Linked DNA regions of Rhinolophus ferrumequinum. The protein of the gene in region 1 interacts with the protein of each later gene in a pairwise test. Links are inferred from orthologs where the notes say so. Each region holds a gene or a part of one and is shown on either strand. Other genes may lie near its edges. The genes, in order: TSGA10 and CDC73.

The links.
Region 2: the proteins of TSGA10 (region 1) and CDC73 interact in binary tests that used the Homo sapiens proteins (3 or more experiments, as listed by UniProt). The two-hybrid records come from large-scale screens. The link is inferred for Rhinolophus ferrumequinum from reciprocal best matches to the Homo sapiens genes TSGA10 and CDC73.

What each region holds. Positions count from the first base shown.
Region 1 is NC_046296.1:4,999,402-5,011,866, forward strand, and holds the start of TSGA10 (testis-specific gene 10 protein), read left to right. Parts: upstream 1-6,228; 5' UTR 6,229-6,293; coding exon 6,294-6,350; intron 6,351-12,465. UniProt on the Homo sapiens protein: Plays a role in spermatogenesis. When overexpressed, prevents nuclear localization of HIF1A.
Region 2 is NC_046310.1:4,966,316-4,979,027, reverse strand, and holds the start of CDC73 (parafibromin), read left to right. Parts: upstream 1-6,863; 5' UTR 6,864-7,111; coding exon 7,112-7,242; intron 7,243-9,686; coding exon 9,687-9,792; intron 9,793-11,915; coding exon 11,916-11,985; intron 11,986-12,712.

The DNA.
Region 1 (12,465 bases):
CAGTTTCGTTGAACTTATGATGAATGTGCAACGAAAGTAATTTCAGCCAGTGCTTCAACAAAATGAAACAAAGAGCAAGGTATTCTTATCCACCGAGTAAGTGACTCTGACTTGATAAGATAGGTGATGCCAACTTTATTACCACAGGGTGAACAGCGCAACATTTCTCTTCATATACTTGAGGCGGGAGCTAGCAATCTAGCTGATATTTTTACAAAAATTATTGAAAAATTAAAACAAAAGATTTTTTTCCCCTGAAAGTTTGGGCCCAAAACTTGGGTGTGCATTATACACGGGAACACATTATACACGGCAAAATATAGTAAATTTATTGTGGTTATATAAGTGAATGTCCTTGTTCTTTAGGAAATACGTGCTGAAATAGGGGTAAAGGATCATATCTACAACTTGCCTTCAAATTATTTACCAATAGAGAAAGTGAGAATTGGAAAAAAAAGATGTCCAATAAAGATCAGCAAATGTTAAAATGTTGAATCTAGATGGGAAAGTATAAAAAAAATTGTTCAGTGTTTATTCTTGTTAAATTTCTGTGTGTTTAAAACTTTCTCAAAATACAAAGTTGAAAAAAAGTTAAAAATACTAACAAAACACTATAAAACAACATACTTCATTTAAAATCAACAAAGGTAAAATAATGGTAACATATATAATTAGCAACTAGCACATTAAACTTCAGTCTAATAGAGGGACTGGGGAAGAACCAAATGCAATTGGCCCTAGGAATCTCACCTTAACTTGCCTGGGATCTTGAGGACATGATGGGAGAACAAGTGTACTTGGGGACTCTTTGGAAACCCAGCATGTGGACAGTTATTTAAGAAGAAATCGTAAATGCATAAGGAAGAATAAAGTTCCATAGAGCTAAATAAGTTTGGACACACATACACACACACAAAGAGAGACTTGCCTTATAAGATACTAAGATATGCTACAGAGTCAAAATAATAAAAACAGTCTAGTCCAGGTGTAGGAACAAATAAATGACCAATAGAACATGACAGAGCTCCAACTTGAACCTATATTTGTGCAGGAGCTTTACATATATAGTAAAGGTGGCACCATACAGCAAAGGGGGATAGATCCGCTAGCACCGTGAACACTGGCTCACGATGTGGATGAAAATAAACCAGGATCCCTCTGCTATACAAAAGGGGACTCCAAGTGCAGTAAATACCTAAATGTGAATGGTAGAAATATGAAATGTAGGCCAATGTATTTGTCACCGTGGGGTAGAGAAGGATTTCTTAAACAAGAACTGAGAGGCTTAATAAGGAAGAAAACTGATGGATCTGACTACTCACAATTAGGAATTAATCTTCAATAAAGAAACTATAAACAAAGTAAAAAAGATGGGGAAGAGACTGGAAGAAGATGTGCTGTCCAAAGCCGACAAGGGATTTACAGCGAGAATATAAAAAGAATAAACATCAACAAGGAAACCCAATAGAAAAATGGGCAAAGGATGTAAAGACATACTTCACAGATTGGGGAATCTCTAATAGGTAGTGAGTACATAAAGAGACGTTCAAACTTACTAGGAATCAGAGAAATTCGAGTTCACTACCATGAGAATGGCTGGCATTAAAAAGGTGGATAACACTGAGTGTTGAGAATGCAGGGTGACAGGAAACCTTGTGCATTGCTACTGAAGTAATTTTTAACTCCTATTTCATATTCTACATCCAACCCTTCAGTGAATCCCGTTTCTGTTTCCACCCTTGCCCCCCTGCCCCATTGTATGGTTTTTCAAACTGTATCTGGAATGAGCTTTTAAAATATAAGCCAGATCCCATCAATGCTCTGCTGAACACGTTCTAGTTACTCCCTATCTCAGAATAAAAGCCAAATTCTCTACATATCAAATCTCCAGCTGTAGGTAGAATAATGGCCCCCAAAGATGTCTAAGGTTGCAAGTGGCATTCAAGTTGCCAATCAACAGTCCTTGTGGTGGGGAGATCATCCTGGACTAACCAGTGGTTGCCAGTCTTTATCAGTGAAAGAGACTCTCAAGAGTCTTTATCAGTGAAAGAGAGGCAGGGATGTCACTGTTGCAATGCAGGAAGGACTTCACAGGCCACTGCTGGCTATGAAGACAGAAGGGGACCACAAGCCAAAACAAAGCAGGCAGCCTCTAGAAGCTGGAAAGGCAAGAAAACAGATTCTCTCCTGGCGCCTCCACAAGGAATGCAGCCCTGCTGACAACTTGATTTTAGCCCAGTGAAATGCATTTTGAATATCTAACCTCCAAAACTGTAAAATGATACATTTGTGTTGCTTAAAGCCACCAATTTTGTGGCAAACTGTTACAGCAGCAATAGGAAACTGATACACCAGCTAACATACTGTCATCTCAAACTCCTCTCCTGTTCCTCACTCACTCTGCGTCAGCCCCATAACCTCACTGCTGTCCCTCAAGCACAGTGCCCTGAGCCTGAGGCAGATTTTGAATTGCAAACCACTTCTGTTGGGGATGGTTGGTGACGGGCAGAGACTATGAGGAACCGACTTCTGGTTCCAGCCGTGATACAGAAACAGGGATCAGATTTATCCTCTTGCCTGAAACATCTTAAAAAATAGATAAAACACGTGAAACCATGGTTTTAAGATATTGGACAATAGGCAGTGCAGGAGCGTAATCCCAAAGAGAAGGGAAATAAACAAGGTGAGCCCTAGGCGAGCTGACTGCCTAGAAATTTCAGGCTTTAGTACAAGGAGGGGGAACCCAAATTAAGCTTGGTTATGTCAAGTTGTTGAGAAGACAGAATCCAGAGTTTGCGGAGGCCAAGTTGGCTAGAATTTATGGAGAGAGGTGCAGCGAGAGAAAGAGCTCCAGAGATCTGCAGAGGATTCCCCACAATTTTTTGGCTGTGCGTAAGGAAATTTTGAGGCCTAGGAAAGAACCAGCCAAAAGGAGAAGGCAGACACAGGGCCAAGAATAAAGTTCCCACCAGCCAGAGTGGAAAGGAATCCTAATACATGGGGCATCGAATATAGTCCGCAGAAAGGTACCGGCTCAGCAATGGGGCCAAATTAGCCTGAGATAAAGACTAGTTTGACCTAACAAAGCTTGAAAGCAAGCTTCTAAAGCAGCGCGGTCCAACAGAACTTTCTGCAATGACGGAAATATTCTACATCTATTGTCCAACGGAATAGCCACTAGGCACGTGTACATTTGAAATTACACAGTAAAATGAGGAACTAAATTTTAAATTATATTTAGTTTTATTAACAAATTCAAGTAGCCGCCTGTAGCCAGTGGTTACTATTTTGGACAGGGCAGCTCTAAAGGATCAAACTGTTTCCAAGTAAACATACTGCATCTCAGAACAAAGCCTAAATATATTTAGGCACCCAACAATGTGAAATCTGCAATGTCTGGCAGCCAATAAAAACTTACCAGGCATGAAAACAAGCAGAAAAATATGACCCATAGCCAGGAGAAAACAAATCAGTAAATAGAAATGACACAGGTGATAGAATTAGGATGCAAGGAACTTAACAGCTCTTTTAATATATATTCCATATTTCCAAGAAGGTAGAACAGAGCATGAGCATGCTGAGGTGTGATGGAAGATCTTTTTAAAAAATCAAACTTCCAGAAATGAAAAATACAATTCTGACATGAAAAATATTGTGGATGGGATTAACACTGCCAAAGGAAAGAATAGTGAACTTGAAGATAATATCAATAGAAACTATCCAATTTAAAAAAAACAAACAAACAGAGCATCAGTTAGCTGTAAGGTAATATCAAGCATGTTAACACATATATAACTGGAGTCCCAGATTTTTTTTTTTTGGAGGGGACCAGGAAGGTACAGGAAAAAAAAAAAAGGCAAAATAGAGATTTGCATAGTGAAACTTGTGAAATGATGGAGAAACTAAGGGAATAAAAAATGCAGGTTTTAGAACCGCACAGGAGTGTGTCACAAGGGAGAGAGCAGAGGTACTATGAAAAGGGTCATTTGGGGCAGGATGGAGCACCCACCACACTTCGGGTTTTCATAGAGGGAAGAAAAATTTCACTTTCTTGGTCTGGGGAGGAAGTCTTTGAAAGGAAAATCATCATGTCCTGGTTTGGTCTTAAAGTGATCTTTTCCCTACATTCTTTCCAAAGAATCTTCAGTAACATCTAGGTGGCATACATAAATGCTTAAACTTTTCTCATTTTTCCCCTAAGGGATGTACTTTCCTACCTCTTATATTAATAATCCATTCCTCTCCCCAAGTCTTCAATTCCAACTGAGTTTTGAAGTTCATACATTTTTCCCTATTTCTTTTCAATAATGCTGGATAATGAGAACCTGTTATTCAAAATAATCTTAGTATCTAAAGAGGAAACGAGATTATACATTGTTCTCTCTAAAATAACTTTTCAGGATGGTCTTTGAGAGCTCATGCTTCTTTGTAACTTATTCTCAGAGGAAATATATCTCTTGGGATCTCTGACTTCTTTATCTAAAATAGTGACACTCAATTTAATTTTTTAGTATCTAGCTATATTTACAAAGTATATGATATCTGAAAATAAATGCTACAAAATAAGAAAATGTAATGGCACACAATGATAAAAAATCAGAGCAGAAAGTGTTTGAAAAACAGCACTTATATTTAAATATACTTCTATGAAGAAATTGGTTCTAACATAAAATTTGTTTATGCCTGCCAATAATATATTGTGGGAATAAATGAGTACTCACCTGGCAAAAACAGGAATTGTTAGTCTTCCAATGTGAGTTTACTTTTGAAATGCACAGGCAAATACTAAATCAAGATAATCAGAGCAGCTATAAAAACCTAGTTATCTATTTCATCTGTGGAAAAGACAAGGAGATAAAGCCACCATTTAAGTCCAGAAGCCCTTGGGTTGTTTAAAAAAGATGGGTCACCCACAGCCCCAAAACACAATATTTCTTAAGCTGGGATCCAAAAATTTGGCAGAATGATGCAGTTCACATTCTTTTTCACTAAAAACTGATTTCTCCACTTACAGGTAATGTGGTTAATTTTAACATAGTTGGGTGGCCAAAAATATTACACCTGGGTAAGTTAAAGGAGCGTTCTCTGAGAGAAGACAAGTTTAAATGGTATTAAATAGGAAAACAATCGATACAATAGTAAATGTCAAGTGAAGCAATACACACCGTGTTTCCCCGAAAATAAGACTGGGTCTTATATTAATTTTTGCTCTAAAAGACATATTAGGGCTTATGTTCAGGGGATATCCTGAAACATGCTATGGCTTATTTTCTGGTTAGGTCTTATTTTTGGGGAAACATGGTATACCCCTTACGTTTTATTTTTTGTTAACCATCACCAGTTTTTGAGGAAAGGGACTGGCATCTGGAGATGGAATATCGGACAGGAATCTGCGCTTTCATTGCTAGTTCTGCCACTTTTCGATTCAACCCTTACTGGCCCGTGCAGGGCTGACCCGGCCGAGGGGTCGCAGGCTCCCCAGAATGCAGGCCGCCGGTGCTCACCGAACAGGCCGGCTCTCTCCCTGGACGTGCAGCGGCAAGACCCAACTTGGGAGGCTCCCCGAAACCCGGCCCCTGGCTGGGGCAGCAGAGCGCACCAACCTCCCAGCGCCCAAGAGCTGCTCTGGGGAGTAACAGGTTCAATGAACGTGGGTCCAGAACGGTGCCGATCCCAAGGAAAAGTGGCACAAAGCAGCGGCAACCAAGCAGCAGGTAATCCCAAGCTGAGAGGGCGGCTGGAGGGCACACGGCCCTGCGCATGCGCGTTCCATCCAGGTGCGGCAACCTGCAGCGGGAATAAGAAGTCTTGAAAAAAAGAGTAGCGGCTGGTTACTAGGAGACGGGGACGCTCGGGTGGGACGTGTAGTCGCTGCGTGGGCGTACGCCTGCGCGGCGCGGATGCACCAGGAAGACGTCTTTCCTAGGCGTCTTGTAAGGCGGGCAGGTGTCGAGACGTGTGTGGGTGCGCGCCCACAGCTTGTAGTCCCCGCTAGAGGGCCAGGTACGCGTGCGCACAGGGACTGAGGGCGCGCGGGACGGAAGCGGAGCGAAGGCGCCGGGGAGGTGGAGGACAAGCCCCCCTCAGGTACAGAGCGTGAGGGCGGGGCCCAGTGCGGCGCCGGCCTCCCGTAACCGCCCCCGCCTCCTTCTCGCCGGGTCCCGCCTTCCTCCGCCTCCACTGGGGTGGGGCCAGGTCGATTTGCGGGTGGGGAAGGAGGGGAAAAGGGCGGAGGATGGACTCTGGGAGGGACCTGGATCCCTGGCGGAGGCCCAGGCCTGGCAGTCGCTGGGATGAGCTCCGGGGAGGACTCCGGGCCGAGAAACCCGGGCAAGGACCCGGACCTACAGGTAGAAGCTGCGGGAATGCGCCGGGTTGGGGTAAAGCAGCTCCTGGGCCGAAGACGGCGGCTGCAAGAGGGCAGGTGTGGCGGGGGTTGGGGGCTGTGGGTGACCCCCGAGGTAGGCATTCACGGCTTGAGCCGCTGTGAGGGAAAGTAACGGGCAGAGTTGCGGTCCCGGGAAGCCCTCCTGGAGCAAACTTTGCTCCTGTTGCGGTTTCTTAGGACATTAGCGTGGAGCCCAGTTCCTATGGTGACCGCTTCGCTTCGGGCCGCAGCTCTCCGCTTGGTTGTTGGGGGGACTGTTCTGTTTAGAAACGCTCTGGAGTGGAGCTCCAGTTAGAGATTTAGGAGTTGAACCTGGCTCATCCTGACTCCCAACCTCTCACTTCTAAGCCTCTTTATAGACTTTGGGAGGTGAAGGGCCGAAATTACCTAGGCATTTGCATGAAAATCTCATAGAATTTCGGTAGAAATTATAATAGGAAAAGCAGTGTAAACTGGCTTTTGTTTGAAAAAAAATAGGAGACTTAGATTGAGTAACTGGCGATCATGGCCCTGATACCTAAATACGCGTAGAAATGCACATTTTTCTTTAAAATGCTTTTCTTTTTTCAAGGATCGCTGTTTCAGGAAAAGTTCGCATAGATGACTGTCTCAGAATCTTCCTTCTTAAATTCCATGCTCTTATATCTTAGGATAGTCATTGTTTTAAATGTCCTCTATTGGCATTTCAGCTACACTTTTAGTTTGTTTACCTGTGAGGAAATAGAATAACAATTGGCTTTTAAGTAGAAGAAAATAGGTTAGTTATAAGTATACAAGGAAAGTGTCACATAATTGAAATCTGCCTCCAGGATAAAACATTTTTTATTGTATTTTAATTGATCGATGAACTAAACGATTCAGTTTTAATTAGTGGGACATAATTAGGAAGGCACATTAATGAAATATTTATTTTAAACAATAAACTTTGGCATTAGTTAAGGGCAGCTTCCAAAATATATCTTATTTTGTTTACCTTCTGAAAAAAATCACTACTTATACCCCAGCATAAAATCATTTGTAGAGATTCTCTGGGCTCTCTTTCTGTTTTCTTTTTCAGTTGCTTAGTTCAGTTTGTTTTAGGATAATTTGCTTTTAAAGTGCTCCATATACAGAGGCAGTTAGAGCAAGCATTACTGTTCGTTCTCTTTTTCCATCACATCCCTCCTTTTCCCCAGATGTAGCCACTGTCCTCACTTTTGTGATTGCCACTTCCTTGTTTTCCTGTATAGTTTGTGCATCTTTGTATGTGAATGTGCACATTGAAGTTTGGCTTGTTTTTGAGCTTTACATAAATGGAATTTTTCTAAGTATTCCTTTGCATTTTGCTTCTTTACTCAACATTGTGTTTTTAAGATTTATTCGTGTTGTTGCTTGTAGTTTGTTGTTTAGTTTTCTATTGTAAGAGTGTTGGTACCACAATTTGTCTACTCTTCGTTTGCTGAACATTAAGGATTTTACAGTTTTTGGTTAATGTGAACACCACTGCTGTGAACTTTCTTATACGTGTACTCCATGATAATCGTTTGAAGTGAGCTGGTTATTAAGTAGTTCTATGTCTTAGTTATGCTAACAACAGCAGTCTATATATTAGTAAATTCTTTTACTTCAGAAAAGCCTCTTGAAAACAACTATTTAACCACTTCTTATGTTTCCAGAAGGTCTTGATGAATGGTACCTCTCCTAAGGCCATTGTTTTATGCTGTTTTAAAAAGACAAGTTATTTCTTTACAGTATAATCTGGATTGAAGAGAAGTGAGAAGCTTGAGTTTGGATGAAATGACTAGAGAGCATTATTTTTCATAACAAAGGTTAAACATTGTGGCTTTACTATTTTGTTTGAAGTGAATTCCCAAAACATTTATTGACTTATTTTTATTATAAATACAAAACCCTGTCTCAAAATTATTCATAAAACTTTGTGTGGTTTTCTACACCTTTCTGTTAGTAAGGCTATTCCTTCCTATTTCAGTGTCTGTTAGTCTAAACTTCCAGAGACAATTTTATAAAAAGAAAACAAGTTGACCTTTTGTGGAACCAGAATTTAGAATCCCATATAAAATACTCCAGTGTTTTCAATTATTCTATCAAAATATTCAGTAAACATTTGTTGAGCACATATTTTATACCTGATATTTTACTCAGCATTGATGATACTTTTTAGCACATGATTGTACCTCCTTTTTTACTAAAAATTAAGATTCTTACCAGGCAGGAACTTTTTCATATTTTTACCCCTTCTTATCTAAATCTTCATCTGACCTTGTTTTTTCTGTTATTGGAGGACAGTGCACACCCTTTACCTGGGTTTCTTCTTAGCTCAGTGGTCATTCTGCATTAGTTAACGTTAACCTATGTCTTAGAATCTTCATTGTGTTTATACTGTAGGGCTTCTTAACCTGGCATACAAGAGCTTTAGGGAGCTCTTGAACCCCCTGAAATTGTAAAGTTTTGTATGTGTTTGCATTTTCCTGAGGATAGGACCAGGGCTTTTGTTTAATTCTGAAAGGGGTCCTTGATGTAAAGAGAATTAAGAAACATGTTTTTTGGGGTGGCCAGATGGCTCAGTTGGTTAGAGCGCCCACTCTCAACAATGTTGCTGGTTCAGTTCCTGCATGGGATGGTGGGTTGCGTCCTTCCCTTCCGCCCCCTACCCCCGGCCCCCCCCCCACACGAACTAAAGATTGAAAACAGCAACTGGACCTGGAGCTGAGCTGCGCCCTCCACAACTAGATCGAAGGACAACGACTTGGAGCTGATGGATCCTGGAGAAACACACTGTTCCCCAATAAAAAAATTAAAACAAGAAAGAAACAAGTTTTTCTCCTCTTGTAATGACCCTTTGACAACCCTGCTCTTCTTCCAACTTTCACTCTACGTTTATTTTTCTCACAATTGTGCTTCCTAAAAGAAGTCTAATTTTCTACTTCCTTCTTTACTACTCATTCATTTATCAGTCCTCTTCAGACTTGCTCCTACCCCATCCTTACGATTAAAATTACTTTGTTCCAGTCATCAAAATTCATTATTTTAAAAATGTTTCCTTGAGTACCAACTTTGTGTTGGGCACTTTTCTAGGCATTAGGGATATAAGTGACCATACAAAAGCCTAGATCTCTTGGAGCTTACATTCTAGTAGGGGGAGACAGACATAAAAAAGTGAAGGAATAAATGATATAATTTCAAATAGCATTAGTGAAAAAAATAACCTACTGAGAGAATGAGTCGGAGAGAGGCTACTTTAGGTCAGGGAAGCCCGCTGACAGATCAGCCAAATAGCTGGGGGTAAGATGGAGCCAGCCATGCAAAGAGCTGGGGGAGAGAATGTTCCTGACACAGGGAAGGCAAGGGCAGAGGCCTCAAAGAGGAATGAGACTGGCACATAGAGGAACAGGAGGAAAACCCATAAGGCTGGTGGGTGAACAAAGAAGAGTACTAAGTCTTTTTAGGGACAGGAAGGCAGTGACCAAATCACCAAGGATCTTAAAACGTTTGGGTTTTATTTTAATTGCAGTGGGAAGCCATTGGAGTGTTTTTGGGCAAGATCTCACTGTTTAATGATTGCTTTGATTTCAGTTTGGAGAATAGGTTGTAGGGAGCTACTGTAGAAGCAGAAAGACCAGTTAGGAAACGGTGGCGGTCATCCCTGTGGGAGACAATGGTGATTTGGACTACTGAGGTGGTAATAAAAATGTAGAGAAGTGGATGGATTGGGGTATATTTTGGAGTTAGAACCAACAAGACGTGTTGATGGATTTGATGGAGGTCAGGGAAAGAGGAAACAGACAACTCCTGGGTTTTTGACCTCGGGCACTGCTCGATGGTGGTGCCACTTGACATGGAAAAACTGGGAAGGAACGGAGGGGAGGCAGGGCTGAGAGCAGGCATGCAGGGTTTTTAAGACATGTTAAAGTTGCAATGGCTGTGGACAGCCAGTAAACGCAATATGATGTGTTACGTGCTTCGATTGGGGTGTGTTCATAGTTTTTTTTGGAACATGGAAAATGTATTCTAAGTATTTGGGGGAGAAAGAGAAGTCAGACAGGCTTTTTTGTAGTCCTTTTCTCTGTATCCCCTTAGCATCGTGTGCATTCCGCTGATGGGGCCCTGTTCATGCTGTGCTGTAATTTCTGACTTACTTGTTCTGGATGTTCCTAGATTCAGGGAGTGTTGCAACTGTAGGTATTTGTTTTTCATCTTTCTATCCCAGAATCTAATATTGGTTCATCTTCATTGTAGCTATTTATAAATTTGTTTGGTAAATGAATAAATGTGACTGTGACAGTCTCAAGGTATGAACTGAAATAATGATAGTAGGGATGGAAGTAATGTATTTCAGAGAGATTTTAGCGAAAAGATCAGTAGGACTTGATGGCCATTTAGGTCAGTTGAGTCAGTGAGAAGAATTAATAATAATAGTAATTGTGAATAATAATACATATAGCATTTATTTTTGCTAGGCACTATTCTGAGTGCTTTACGTACATTAACTCATTTAATCCTCAGAACAACTCTATGAGCAAGTACTGTTACCATCCCTGTTTGATAGATGAGGAAGCCATAGCCAGAGGAGTAACGTGCCCATGCCATGCAGCTGAGAAGCGGCAGAACGAGTGTGATGGACATAAGCAGTGTGATGCTGAAAAACATGCCCTTAACCCCTATGCCCTGGTGCTTCCCAGCGACAGTGACTGTGATTCTAGCTTGGGTGTCTATGACGACAGCTTGCTGCTTGCACTGTACTTTTTCTTGCTTTCTCTGTGATCTGTACAGGAACAGAAGTTCCATCCTTAGTTCCATTTAGAGATTGTGGGAAGATGGAGGATATTCAGGTGACAGGCCAGGCAAGGGCATTTCAGGTACTCTGATTTCTCTCCCTTCTTATTGCCTCCAAAGCTAAAGCACTTAAAGTAGCAAGTCTAATATGATTGCTTACAATTGTCACATTGACTGTTGGTCTCTTCCGACTTTTAATTTCTAGACTAGCCTGGTAGGTAATTTTTTTATTTTTAATTTAATTTTTAATTAAGTGAAGAAGAAAAAGCAGGGAATCAAGAGGAGAATTGGAACTGTTTCACAGTTAATCCCAGACATCTGTGCCTTGGTCTACATCGTGCTCTGTGATTCTGCTGCAAAGCTTATAGACTTCCGTGTACTTGAAGTGGCAGTAGACATTGGGCTGACTGCCGTATTATTCATAACCTCTGCTGTGAGAGTGTAAGGAGGAAATTTTATAGAATCCCCACTTGTCTTCACGAGAAGAAGGAAAGTTCAGTTTTATCTGCTTTAGTACACTGCTTCATTATCAACCTCCACAAATTTTTATGATGCCTTCCTATTACACAAAGAACTCTGTGCAGGTTGGGGGGAGTACAGAGAACTCTAGGACATTGCTTGTTCTTCAGATTCTAATGGCGGTGTGAGGAAGATATATCCAGAAAAAAACAAATAGCTACATAAATTGTTCTATAACGAATATATACAGAAGTCTCAAAGAAGGATGGGATCACTATTTGATGGAGCTGATAGAGAAAACCTCCTAGAGAATATGGAATTCAAGCTGAGTCTTAAAAGTACCTTTAGTTAAATGGAGAAAAGGGTGAGGGTAAGTAAGGCTTATGAACAAAAGATAACATGACCGTATAAAGAACGTGTGGAGTCCTTTGGAATAGATTGTCTTTATTAGAGGGGTTCTTGGAGGTGTCAAGTAGGAGATAAGTTTGGAGACATGGGGAGGGATCATATTATGAAGAACTCTGAATGCTAGGCAGGTTTAGACTTTACTTAAATAGATCCTTGCTATTCAGCTGTAGTCTCTGTACTAGTCAAGTAGGGATCCCCGAGCACTTTTTAGAAATGCAGTGTTTTAGGTCTACTGTGAATAAGAATCTACATTTTAATAAGATTCCCAAGTGATTCGTATATTCACTGAAATTTGGAAAGTGCTGCTGTAGTGAGGAGTCATTTGATTCTGTTATTCTAAGTCAAATGTTTATGACTAGGAACACATTTTCAACAGGAACTATGTAAGAAATGGTAGTTAGGATTTCAGCCTAACCCATAAAGGCTTAAATTATTCT
Region 2 (12,712 bases), on another chromosome or scaffold:
GATAACAATGAGGGTTCTGTGGTCTCCTGCTCTGGCAGGTTATGACTGGAGGGGTCTGGAAAAAGGGATTACTCTGACATTCCAAGGGTATGTTATCTTAGATGCAAAGAGACAATAGGCTCACTTAAGGTAAAGATATACCTTTGTTAAGGAACCTGCAGGCCAAGGATGTGACTACCTGCCATGACCTGAGTTTAGTTGGGAATTTTTATGTTCAGACCATCCTGTGTGGTTAATTTCGGTCTCTTGAGTTTGCAGGACCTGTTGGCAGGCCTCCCCTGAGCTTGTCAGGTTTAGTATGGGGTCCCTTTTTCGTCCACAGTGAAACATGTGTCTTGCAAAATTTTATAGAGGCATATAGTGAGTGTAAGTAAATTCATGTTCATAATTTAGTAAATTATCTATTGCATACTGAGAAATTTCAGTGGCATTTCAAAAAAAAGGGACAATGGTGGTCGTATTCCCCTGAATCTCTAACTCTTTATGATGTGATTATTGGTACGCCCCTCTCTACAGTGTGTTCCTGGTGGTCTATGCTTGAAGGTCATTGACAAAAATGAAATTTTCATTAAAGATTCAGCTGAGACCCTCACCGCCACAGACTGGGCCCCTTGACCCTCTGGTTTGGACATCGGAAATCTCTTGTGTCTCCTGGCCAAGGCCACCATACCTGGAGTGAGGAGGTAAATTTAGGCTGAATTGAGCTCCGACATTGTGTTGAAGTACTTTACACTGGGTTTTATTTTCTTCCCTGGGAAAAAGTCTCCTGAGAACGTACTGCGATCTGACCAGATTTGTATTATTCCTTAGCGAAACTGTTTTCTAGCCTTCTGACTTTTTCTCCTGTGGTTGTCTTTTTCTCCTGTCTGCTGTGAGGTTGTCTATGAGAGGAAAAGTCCATCGGAAGAGGAGAGGCAGAGGCCCTATAAGTCTATCCTTGAGCTGGCGCCACAGGTCTCCTCAGACCATTGTCTGTGAACCAACTTTGCCTCGTTTCCATTTACAAATGATACAAAGACTCCCTCCTTAGTCTTGTCTTTGTGTTCCTGCTCTGTTTAATTTTATCTGCTTTAAAAGCAGGAAGCTTGTCCCACCCATGTTTGGGGATGATTAGCTTTTGGCTAACTTCCGGAGACATGAGGTTTCACAAGTATTGTGTATTTCCTCTAAAATAAGACCTAACTGGAAAATAAGCCCTAGCGTGATTTTTCAGGATGACATCCCCTGAACATAAGCCCTAATACGTCTTTTGATGCAAACATTAATATAAGACCCGGTCTTATTTTTGGGGAAACACAGTAGCATCTTTAGGGAACACTGCAGTTTTCACAGGGGCTTCTTGATCAAAAACTATTTTAACTGGTACGCTGAACTCTCTAACTGGCAGAATTATACGAGAGACAATTTGGAACTACACAAGCCACTTTGGTTACTTTTGAGAAGAACAAGATCAGTCATTTAGGAGGTGCTTTAGAACAACAACAAAAAAGAAAGTCATATGATGAAATTGTCTTGTTAGTGTAAAGGAAAGATAATTTTTTAAATTTAAGGTAGGAGACACCCCCTCTTTCATGTTCGTACTTTGAAGATTGATAAGGGCTGCTTTTTAATTGTATTACTAGATAAACTTGTCAAGGGTCCGAGTTATTCTTTAAATCAGCTATAATAATACTCTTTTGTCTGTGTACATGTTTAAAATGGGTATTTCTATGTCTAAATTTTCTCTTCTCTCTTCACATAGAAAATATAATTATCCTTTTACAGTGGTCATTTCATATTTGTCTGAAGCTGCCTGCTTTTCATTTTCTCTCTCTTAAAAAATCTAAACATTAACCAATGGATCAAACAAACAAAAACATTCAGTTAGGTGCTCATTCTAAAAGACAGTTGTCAAACTTAGTGTTTATTTTGTGAACTCTGAAAATTATACTTACTGAATAGCCCTGGTCACATAGGCACAATACAAGAAAAGAAGAACTTTGGGCATGATTCAGAGTTTGTAAATTTTAATTTACCATGTAAAAACAATGTCAACATAATATTTTGTACATAACTAAACTAGTGTTTAGTTTCTCATGATTTGTACTTCCAAAATTTCCTATGTTTGGTTTTTGAATTAAATAAATTATCATTGTTTGTATAACATGATATATATATATCTATAAGTAAAATATATGAATTGTATTCAACAAAATGAAATGGTAATAACAGATATCTTTTTTTTTTTAAATGGCTGCACCCTTCACACAGTCACTCACTTTTTTTTAAAGATTTTATTGGGGAAGGGGAACAGGCCTTTTTTCGAAGTCAAGTTGTTGTCCTTTCAATCTTAGTTGTGGAGGGTGCCATTCAGCTTCAAGTTGTCTTTTCAGTCTTAGTTGTAGAAGGTGCAGCTCAGCTCCAGGTCCAGTTGCCATTGCTAGATGCAAGGGGTGAAGCCCACCATCCCTTTCCGGAGTCGAACCAGCAACCTTGTGGTTGAGAGGACACGCTCCAACCAACTGAGCCATCCAGGAGCTCAGCGGCAATTCAGCTCAAGATGCCCTGTTCAATTTTAGTTGCAGGGGGCGCTGCCTACCATCCCTTGCGGGAGTCGAGGAATTGAACTGGCAACCTTTGTGGTTGAGAGGATGTGCTCCAACCAACAATAGGAGCATGGAGCTCTAACCGCCTGAGCCACCGGGCCGGCCCAACAGATATCTTTTTGAAGGGACAACTTTCTGAAATTCTTACAGTGCTACAAATAACAATTTAATGTGCTTGCTAAAATTGTAAATTACCGATCCTTAATTAACTTTAAGACTAGGCAAACGAATAAGTTAACAAATAACTAATCTTTTGATGCTTGGACAATTTCTAAGTAAAAAGCAGATAAGAAAACCACATTGGTTACTAAATATAATTTGTTATTTATTACAATGGCAATGGATTAACAAAATATACAAATGTCTCTTGGTTATATGATATATATATATATATATATACACATATATATATATGAGGTATGATCAAAAACATGGTGAATGTTTACATAAAAAAATGATTAAAGTAAAAGACACATTGCCATTAATCCCCTTCAAAACACTCCCTCTTGCTTCGAACACACTTATGCCATCATTCTTGCCACTTTCTCAAGCTGTGCTAGAAGTCCTCTGGCAGTCGTGGCTGCCTCGATGTCCTGAATCGATTCAAAAAGTTTACCTTTCTTGGTCATTTTGACTCTGGGGAAGAGCCAGAAGTCACATAGTGCCAGATCTGGTGAATAAGGTGGATGAGGACACACTGTAATGTTTTTGACAGAAATTGCCGTGCCAACAGCAATGTGTGACATGGAGCGTTGTCATAATGGAGGATGAAACCGTTTGTCCACTTCATGTTAATACATTGTTTGTGATCCATGATTTATAGCACACTTTAAAACACACCTTCTCTCAACCGTAGCTCACACCTGATTGACTGCACCGAACAAGTTGAAACTTGTCACACACTGTTACTAAGGTTCCACGCACCGCTTCCCTTATTGGAGATCCCTGCCTTTCTGTTGAATGGCACTCGGCAGCAGCATTCACTGTATTTTTTAATCAAACCTTATATGTGTGCTTATTTTTACAACCTCAAAATTGTTAAAATAATATAAAACGCACATTAATAGAACAAAATCGCTAAGCAATTATAGTTTTCTGTCTTCTGATATTCTCTTTTGTTTGGAGAAGAAGATGGTTACTTGGTTAATATGATTATTTATATGACTGGTTGACTATATTAGGTGACAATAATTACAGAGAAATACAAGATTGTATGGAAGACAATCGATATAATTTTCTGTTTATTAAGAGTTGTTATTATTTATGAAGATGTTAAATTTAATATGATATCTACATTGTTTTATTTAATGTGTATATGTTAAGGCTATAGTTTAAATACTTTAAATATATTATTTGTATATTTATGTATTCATTCATGCCTAAATACACATGCATATAAAGGTATACTCATAAATTTTATATAGTAGGTAGTTATGTGAATAATGTACAAAAGAGTAAAATTAGAATTTGAGTCTTGTTTTCTGTAGAAGAATTCAATTATTATGTGCCCAAATTAGTAGAGGTTCCTTTATGTCACCAAAATATTTGGTAATTGTCAGTGCTAACATATTCTTAAATGACTTTGAAAAAATTCCTTCCTACTTTTGAAAAGATTTATTTTCTAATACCATTGCTGTATCTCGCTATGCTTTTACAGTATTGCCTAAAAATATTTCTTGTCTTTGGATACTTATAACTTAATATTCGTTTACTCTAACAACTACTCTTAATTTTGTTTTTTCTCAGTTTAGGACCCAGATTCAGAATAATGCCTAAATGCTCATCAGCTCTCCCAAAATGGCCATTGAGGAAAAAAAGAATTGCTCCTTTACACATGAAAGGTCAAGAAACATAATTAGATTTTTTTCATAATTCCTCAAATTTTAAAAAAATTATTATGAGAAATCATTATTTACAAGATGTAGGAAAAAACTAACAATGCAAAAAGACAGGTAAATTATACATAAACAAAATGTGTTAATATAAATCTTTCAATGATTGTAGTATACTTTTCAAGTTAAAAAGAAGCCAGTCTATCAAAATATTTTGTTTCCAGGATTCTAGATTCAAAAATCCTGTTTTGTTTTTGTTCATGAAAGGTCTGAAGACATGTACTGATTCTTCAGAGGTTTATTACTTAGTTAAGTCTTTCATTAGATCCAATAGCCAAAGTGCACCCATCTCATCTAAGAGCTGTAACAAACAGTGGCAAAACATTTGAAAGCTTCCACTGACTGTTCTAGAGTCTCCGCTGAAACTAATTGTTCCCCAAACCACGCAGAGGTTTTTATTGACAAGAAAGACTCCACACTTCTCAGCTGGCCGCCTAACCTCCTATAAAATACGGTTATTTCCCTTGCACACTACTGTCCATTACCACAACATTAAACCCAGTCACTCTCATTCCCTTACCAAATAGAAGGATAACCCCATCTCTGATTACCTCCTTAGGAAACTACCCATAATACAGCAGGTCCTCAAATGACATCGTTTCCTTCAGGGCCTTTTGGTTATAACGTTGATGAGAAAAAAAATGTATTTCGGTGAGGGCCACTGTCCGGGCGGAGTGTGTACTTCCTCCCACAGCCCAAAGACATGCAGGAGAGTATAGCTGGCTTGTCTTCATTGCCCCAGTCTGAGTAACAAATGTGAGATATACCTGTGTTAAGAAACATGAACAAAAGTATGGCAAACATTTCCCCACTCCTTGATATCAGTTCAGGGCGTGTGTGGTGGAAGCCATCCCTGCAGCTAACTCTGAGGACCCGGTGGGTAGGGCAGTCTTCTGTCAGAGGGCCCATACTTGCATCTACCCACACTCACACTGGTACAGTGTATACTCATCAGTGAACTCCACCAGCATACCTTTGGGACATGGGAGGAAACAAGAGTCGACAGATTCCCTGGGGAAAACTCATGCAGACATGGGGATGAGCTGCAAATATCACAATGGCCTGATTGGACTCCAATTTTTTATTTTTCCTCTCATCAACATTGTAAGAAAACAACGTTGAAAAAAAAAGTTGAGGACCTGCTGTGGGGACAGAGTCCCAGAGAGCAGTTTCCAGGCTCTCAGCCTCGCGTGGAAAGGTGGTGGCTCGGGTAGTAGATGGTCATCAGCTGTGACTGGTTGGCCATTGGCTGTAACCAGTTAGCCATTAGCCACCGATATAACTGCCATGGCTACGCTGGCAAGCGGGTGGGCTGGTTGGCAGAGAAGCGGACGGCAGGTTGCAGATCGTGTGGCTCCTGCTTCCTGTGTCTCCAACCCAGCCGCCAGCAAGAATATAGTGGGATGACTCCCCTCTCTATGGCTCCATTGGTGTTCCATTTTGGCCTCACCATGTCCTGCGTTCTCGTGCAGGGAGCGGGACCAGGGTCCCTGCATTACACCTGTTGTATATTGAATTTATAGCACTGTTTCCAGGACAGCAAGGATACCCTGGAGCCTTATGGATGCCAAAAAAAAAAAAAAAAAGTAATCCAAAAGTGTTCTGATTCAGACAGTTTGGGGTTCGAGTTCTCTAAATTTCCTATTGGCATATTGGAACAGAACCATTTAAATGTAGCCCTTTGGTGCCTGTGGGGGAGAAACAGGACGCAGGACGGAAAAAGTCACCATGTAAGGAATTGAAGGGGAAGGGCCCACATTTATGACATTTTGATGATTTGCTGGACCCTTTCACCTAATTCTCATACGAACTCCATGTTCTCCAAGACCCAATTGATGCTGTGAGAAGGTACATAGCTTGACCAAGTCCGGGATTGCTCTCCGCTGGACTCGGTCTTTTCCAAGATGCTAATCAGCCTCACACCAAAAACAACCCGAAACCTCGCTCTTCCAGAGGCCATTCGCTAGGCCTGGTTCGACCTAGGTGGGAAGGTAATCCTAGCGTCCTGCAAACCTTTTGCCAAGTTCCATCCCCAAAGCAGGGACGGCGAGCTTTCGGCCGCACTCAAAACGGGCGACGGGTCCCTCCGCGCGCGCTCCAGGAAAGGAAGCGCGGAACCTCTACGCAGGTGCGCGCGCACCTGTCGCTCGCGGAGCCCCAGGCAGCGGTGGGAGGGGCGGCGGGGCGGGGGATGAAGCACTTGCTCCGCGCGCCTGCGCCCGGCGATGTTTCCCGTACGTGCGTCGTACGTGGTGGCCGCGTCCCTGCGCTCCGAGGTGCGGGCCGGGAGTCGGGCCCGGGCCGGCTGGGAGTCTGGGAGGGGCGTTTTCCTGGGCGGTGGCGACGCCCCCTGGCGGCGGCCGCGCAGCGCGGGAGGCACGCAGTCAGGCGATCTCCGCGGGCAGCCTGCGGTGGGGCCTTGCTTCCTAGCGCGGGGTCCTCGGCGGCCTGGGTGGCTACTGCCCCTGCTGCTGGCGTAGGCGAGGACGGCTGCGAGTGCGGCTGCAGTTGGTTCGCGGCGGCGGCGACGGCGGCAGCGGAGGAGGAGGAGAACCAGGCGACAGGGGAAGAAGGAGGCAGGCGCGGCGGCGGCGGCGGCGGCGTCCGGGGCCGGCGGCGGAGAGGGGGGTGAAGATGGCGGACGTGCTCAGTGTCCTGCGACAGTACAACATCCAGAAGAAGGAGATTGTGGTGAAGGGAGACGAAGTGATCTTCGGCGAGTTCTCCTGGCCCAAGAATGTGAAGACCAACTATGTAGTTTGGGGGTGAGTCCGGCAGGGCTGTGGCCGGGCAGAGTCGGGCGCCCCCAGGCGACCTCTTTCCCGGCCCCTCCCCCCGGTCCCTTCGGGGATGGGGAAAACGGGGGCTCGGGGAAAAGTTTCTCTCTGGAGTGGAAGTTACACTTGTAGGTGAGGAGGGAGAGGTGGGAGCTGCGTCTGGAGTGGTCCATCCCATGAAGTCTTGGGGGAGCTGAAGGGAAAGGTCCTGGGGCAGTTTGTGAGTCGCCCGGTTCGTTTGTCGCGATGTGGACGGAGGGCTAGCACCGCGTATAGGTGCGTGAAGGAGGAGCGTCCCGTCCGTCCCCGGAGACGTGTCTTTTTGTTCTTGAGGGTTTTTTTTGTTGTTTGTTTTGTTTTGTTTTTTGTTTTGTCTCTTTCTCTGGCCAAGGCTGCCCTGTGTTGCTAACTAGCTCCGCTGACCCTTGCAGCTCCTGGTCTGTTTCTTCTCCTTTTGCGATTCCCTCGAGAAGATAGAAGGGCACCAACTCTGTGGAGTTAGGACGGGAAAGAGGTTTGGTCCCTTTGGACGAGTGATCCAAATACGTTGGAAGTGAAGGCAGGAGTTTCCTCAGGGACGAAGCCGCTGGGGAGATAGAGTGAGGTTTGCAGGTCTGAGTTAGAAATGGATGGGGTCTGTGATTTGGGGAAATGTGTTTTCAAGAGAAATGTTTGGGGACCTTGATCCACGTGCGGTGCCCTGAATTTAAGTCATTAAGAAAACATCGAGCCAGAGGTCTGATCATCGTTTGGGCCTTTTTAGTGATGGGTCTCTCATTGGTGGTGTTTTGTGGGGATACATAGGACCTTGGGCCAGAACGTCCATACTCTTTTTGTTTGATTGCATGGAAGTAGTGCGCTTTATGAAGGGTTGAAGAAAAACTAGGGGAAATTCAGGTGGTTGGTTGTTCTTTGTTTTTTGTTTTTCTGGCTTGAGGGCTTGGGATTTAATTAGCTTTATGGAATGTTAAAAATGACATCATTCCGATTTTCCTGTTTTGTCCATTCAGAAGGATTTGCAGACTGGATTACACTTTTAAACTGGAGTTTTAACTGTGTATTTTTTTTTTCCTTCAGTGGTTCAGGAGTACTCAGGGTGTTGGGCAGTCCAACCTGAGAAATGGAAACTTCTTAGGACGCTGGTCCCTGCCTCAAAGGAGGGTCAGCTAATCAGAAAAGAGGAGATGAAACCTGCTCTAGGTCTTAGGACAAGACCCCCAATACCCCTTCTAGCTTGGGGTATCGGGAAAGTTTTCATGGACGTATATTTGGCATGTAGACATGCGACCGATTTTTCTTGCATAAATGAATGAACAGGTAAATAAGCTTTAAAGAATGGGTAGGAATTCTGAGGTGAAATGGTGGATTAGGTCTTTAAAGACAAGAGAACTGTATTAAAAGGCACGCATGCTGGAAAGGAAATGTTTTGAGAGCAATTTAGTGAAAAAGGAGTGCTTAGAACAGTAGATTTCAAACTTTTACAGCAGTGAATCACACCAATAAATATGTCTTCTTTCATTATTAATGTTTGGGTGCGTATGTAAATCTGTACACGTTCATGACATTGAACAATACTTTATCGCATACAGTACATTCTGTTTGTTATTTTGCTTTTCTATATCATAAAAAACCCCTGGTTGTTACCCATATTTTAGATTTCATAGTGCAATAATTGACAGTGGTGTGTGGTTTGAAATACATAGATTTAGAGGACAAGTGGAAATAGAGGCTGGACAATGAGGTTTGGGGCTGATTACACTGGGCCATGTTCAAGTGAATTCAAATGCTTGGACATTTCTAGACGGGGAGAAGGTTGTAGGAGGGGTGGGGTTGGACACTAATGTTTGTTGAGCAAGTAGTAGTACGTTCCTGTGGTAAGTATCTTGCACCCCTAGACTACGTTGTTTTATCGCAGGTAGAATTCATTTTGGTTTTGGGTCATTGGTTTAATTTGAAGCATGTGATTAAGACTTATACCTCAGAAATTAATTGTTGTGTTCATTACTTAGGAGACGTAGACATAGGATAAATTTCTTGTAAGTTTAGCACCAGTAACAGTTGTGCTTCTTTTCTTCTTTTCAGTCTATTTTTCTATGAATCCTCTCTAGTGTGTTACCGATTAGGTTTCTCTATTGACAAAGTCCAGAACCTAATTTGGGCCAAATATTAAAAAGTATATATAATGTCTTAGAGTAGGAATGTGTGTGCTTTCCTTCTTGCTTTTTGCCATTGTCTACCTTTGTGTTCCTTTTGCCCTACCTAACCTAACGACGATTCCACTTTCTAGATTTCATACTTTGTATTTTTGTTAGCCATCTTAATTCCATTCTATTGTTGGATAGCAAAGTGGGTGTAGGTAAATTAAGACACATAAGTAAGCCCTACGAGTTGAAATAGAATTGTGAGTAAAACTCTTGCCATGATTCTTTCAGGACTGGAAAAGAAGGCCAGCCCAGAGAGTACTACACATTGGATTCTATTTTATTTTTACTTAATAATGTGCATCTTTCTCATCCTGTTTATGTCCGACGTGCAGCCGTAAGTAGAATTTATTTTAAAACTTTATTGATTTAATTGATGGTAGGTAGCATTTGACATGGATGATGTCCCTCATGGATTTCCGATGAAAAGCATGAAAGATTTGTATGAAAGTTTCCTGGAGGGTTGTGATTAGATTATTGTGGTTTATGCGGATTATTTTGCATGTAAAATGTGGGTAATGTTTACAACGACAGAAGTTTTAAAGACGTTTATAGGGATGTTTTAAATAATTTATGAGTCTGTGCAAGGACCCTAAAATTCAGAACTTTAGTTTAATCTCAAAAGTTTTTTGACATCAGAAAGAATCAAGATTAACAACTTTTTAAAATTAATTTTTAAGCAATAAACTTTTTTCAGATTTTATTGATAAATTCATCTGTTTTCAGTTTTGCCTGCTTTCTGCACCTCAGTGTTTGAACACTGCTTTTGTGAACAGGAAATACATGTTTAGCGTCAGATATGTATTGAAAGAAATAATGCGTAAGGTGAAACGACTTGGAATCTAGGGAACTAGTGGGATAACACAGCAGCATCTCTGTAAAGCCATGTTAACTCAGATCTTAAAAACTGTATTAGGCAGTAATTAGAATGTTTTGCTGGTTGTATGCATTCCTTTTGGGGTAATATGGGTGGTCCCGACACTTGATTGAGATTTAGAGAGTCTCTTCTTGGGGATGGGTGTAGCACAAACTAGCACTGGTCGTTACTGTGGCCCTGAGGACCCAGGTCACACAGCATTTAACGCTTCGTTTTTCTTAACTGCTTGAAAGATTGAAAGGGCAGGATTCTAAAATTCTAGGTTCTACAGTTTTATTCTCCTCACTCTGTGTTACCTTCTCGCCCCTTGGAACAGACCATTTCTGAAATCGGTTTGCCTGAGTTGTAGCTCCTAGTTCCGTTGAGTGGACTCCCATCTTTTCAAGTTGCCTGTAACGTGTGTATCATTCACTAGTGACCAAACCCTGAAGTGTGTTCTCAGACTTAAAAACAGTAGTGTAAGGAAAATTCATCCAAATCTTTTTTAACTGTTTATGATATTCCTTGTAGGCGAGATCACAGAAAAACCTGTGGGCCCTTAAATGTCTGTATTTGTAAGCAGCAATGAAAGTTTAGCGTACTCTTTTGAAAACATACATTAATCTTAAGTGATTAAATACAGTGTATCTCTACGATGGAGGACTGCATGCAGAATGTTTGGTGCAGTGAAATCAAGTCGTCAACATAAAGTCATCAGCTAGGGTGCTAAGGGTTCTGCTTACTTCACTGTTGGCTTATGGAGACTGCCTGAAAGGATTTGCACTATGTCATCCTGCAGCCACTAGTTTTTCCTGTACTCTGTTTTTTGTTTGCATTATAAAAATGATACGGACAATTGTAATTGCAGGATTCATTGCATTCATAGCCCAGAGATAACTTTTTGCCTAAAGTATACCGTTCTATTTGTTTTGCTCACCTCTACAAATTGCTCATGTAGGAACTTAAAGGAAAATTACCTGTTTTACCAAAGTATATACATTTCTCCAGATTTAATTCTTTAATCTTACAGAATGTATACACACTTGAGGATAAAAAAGAAATATGCAATGTAGAAAGTATACAACCACCATTAACATTTCCCTGTATAATCTAAAATTTCCCACATACCTAGTATTAATTATAAAAATTTAGTTTTAGTGGCTAAGCTGGTTTATTTGAAAGAGTGCAAGTATATTTTGAGGAAGTCTGGTTTAGATGTGATAAAAGAAAGCACTTTGGAAACATTGCATAAAATTAGCAAGCAATGAGACTAAAAAGATACTTGCCCTAAATAACGCAAACCATCATGAGTAAAATTAAAAACTAAGTACGTAGAGTAAGCGAAGGGAACAAAACAGACTCAAATTGACATTTTGAAGAGGGAAAGGGTCATTGTTTCATTTCTGTTACCAAAAATTAACATGCTTAGTACTTTTAAAGATTTTTATTAGGTTCTTTTAACCTAGTAATTTCCTAAAAATACAGTTCTAAATAATGTTATGAAGATATGTTGGACTAAAATTCAGACATTACATGATTTTTATCTTTACCAATTGTCTATAATTGTTTTTGATTTGGTATCTAATTTAAAATTTTTATTTCAGACAGAAAATATTCCTGTGGTTAGAAGACCTGACCGAAAAGATCTACTTGGATATCTCAATGGCGAAGCATGTGAGTCAATTTTAAATTGCCCTCGCTCTTTTTTTTTTTTTTTTTTAAGGCTTAAAACAATAGAATTTATTATCTCATAGTTTTGGTAGGTCAGAAGTCCACCATGGCATAACCGGGTTCTCTGTTCAGAGCGTCACAGGTTGAAATCAATATGTTGGAGTCCTCTTCGAAGTTCCTTCCCGTTCTTGGCAGAGCTCAGCTGCTTGGAGTTGTAGTATTGGCTCCATTTTCTTGCTGGCTGTGGAATGGGGGTTGCCCTCAGCAACTAAAAGTTGCCGACATTCCTTGTTATGTGTCTTTCTCCATCTTCAGAACCAGCCATGGAGAATTTTCTCTTGCTTTGAATCTTGAAATTGCTCTCACTCTTAAGTGGAAAGTGTGTGTGTCTGCGTGTGTGTTTTCTATGAAATAAGCAGTGGGAAGAGAATCTGTATCCCCACTGAAAAATGGACGTACGTGCAGCTGTGTCCAGTCCTCTTCTTTCTTTCCTGTTAGAGTGAATGCACAGCTTTTGCTCCTAAGGCCAGTCACCCCTTCCTTGTGTGTGGGTTCCATCTCCTTTCACACTTTCAAAGACTTTGCCTGGGAAAATTGTTGATTTCCTCTTGCATCATCTTGTTTCTTCTGCATCATTCCCTTTAGAATACACACAGTAAGACCTCTTATTAAAGAAAATATTTTGACCCCACATTCCTACTATCTACTGCTCCATTTGTCTTCTTTTTAT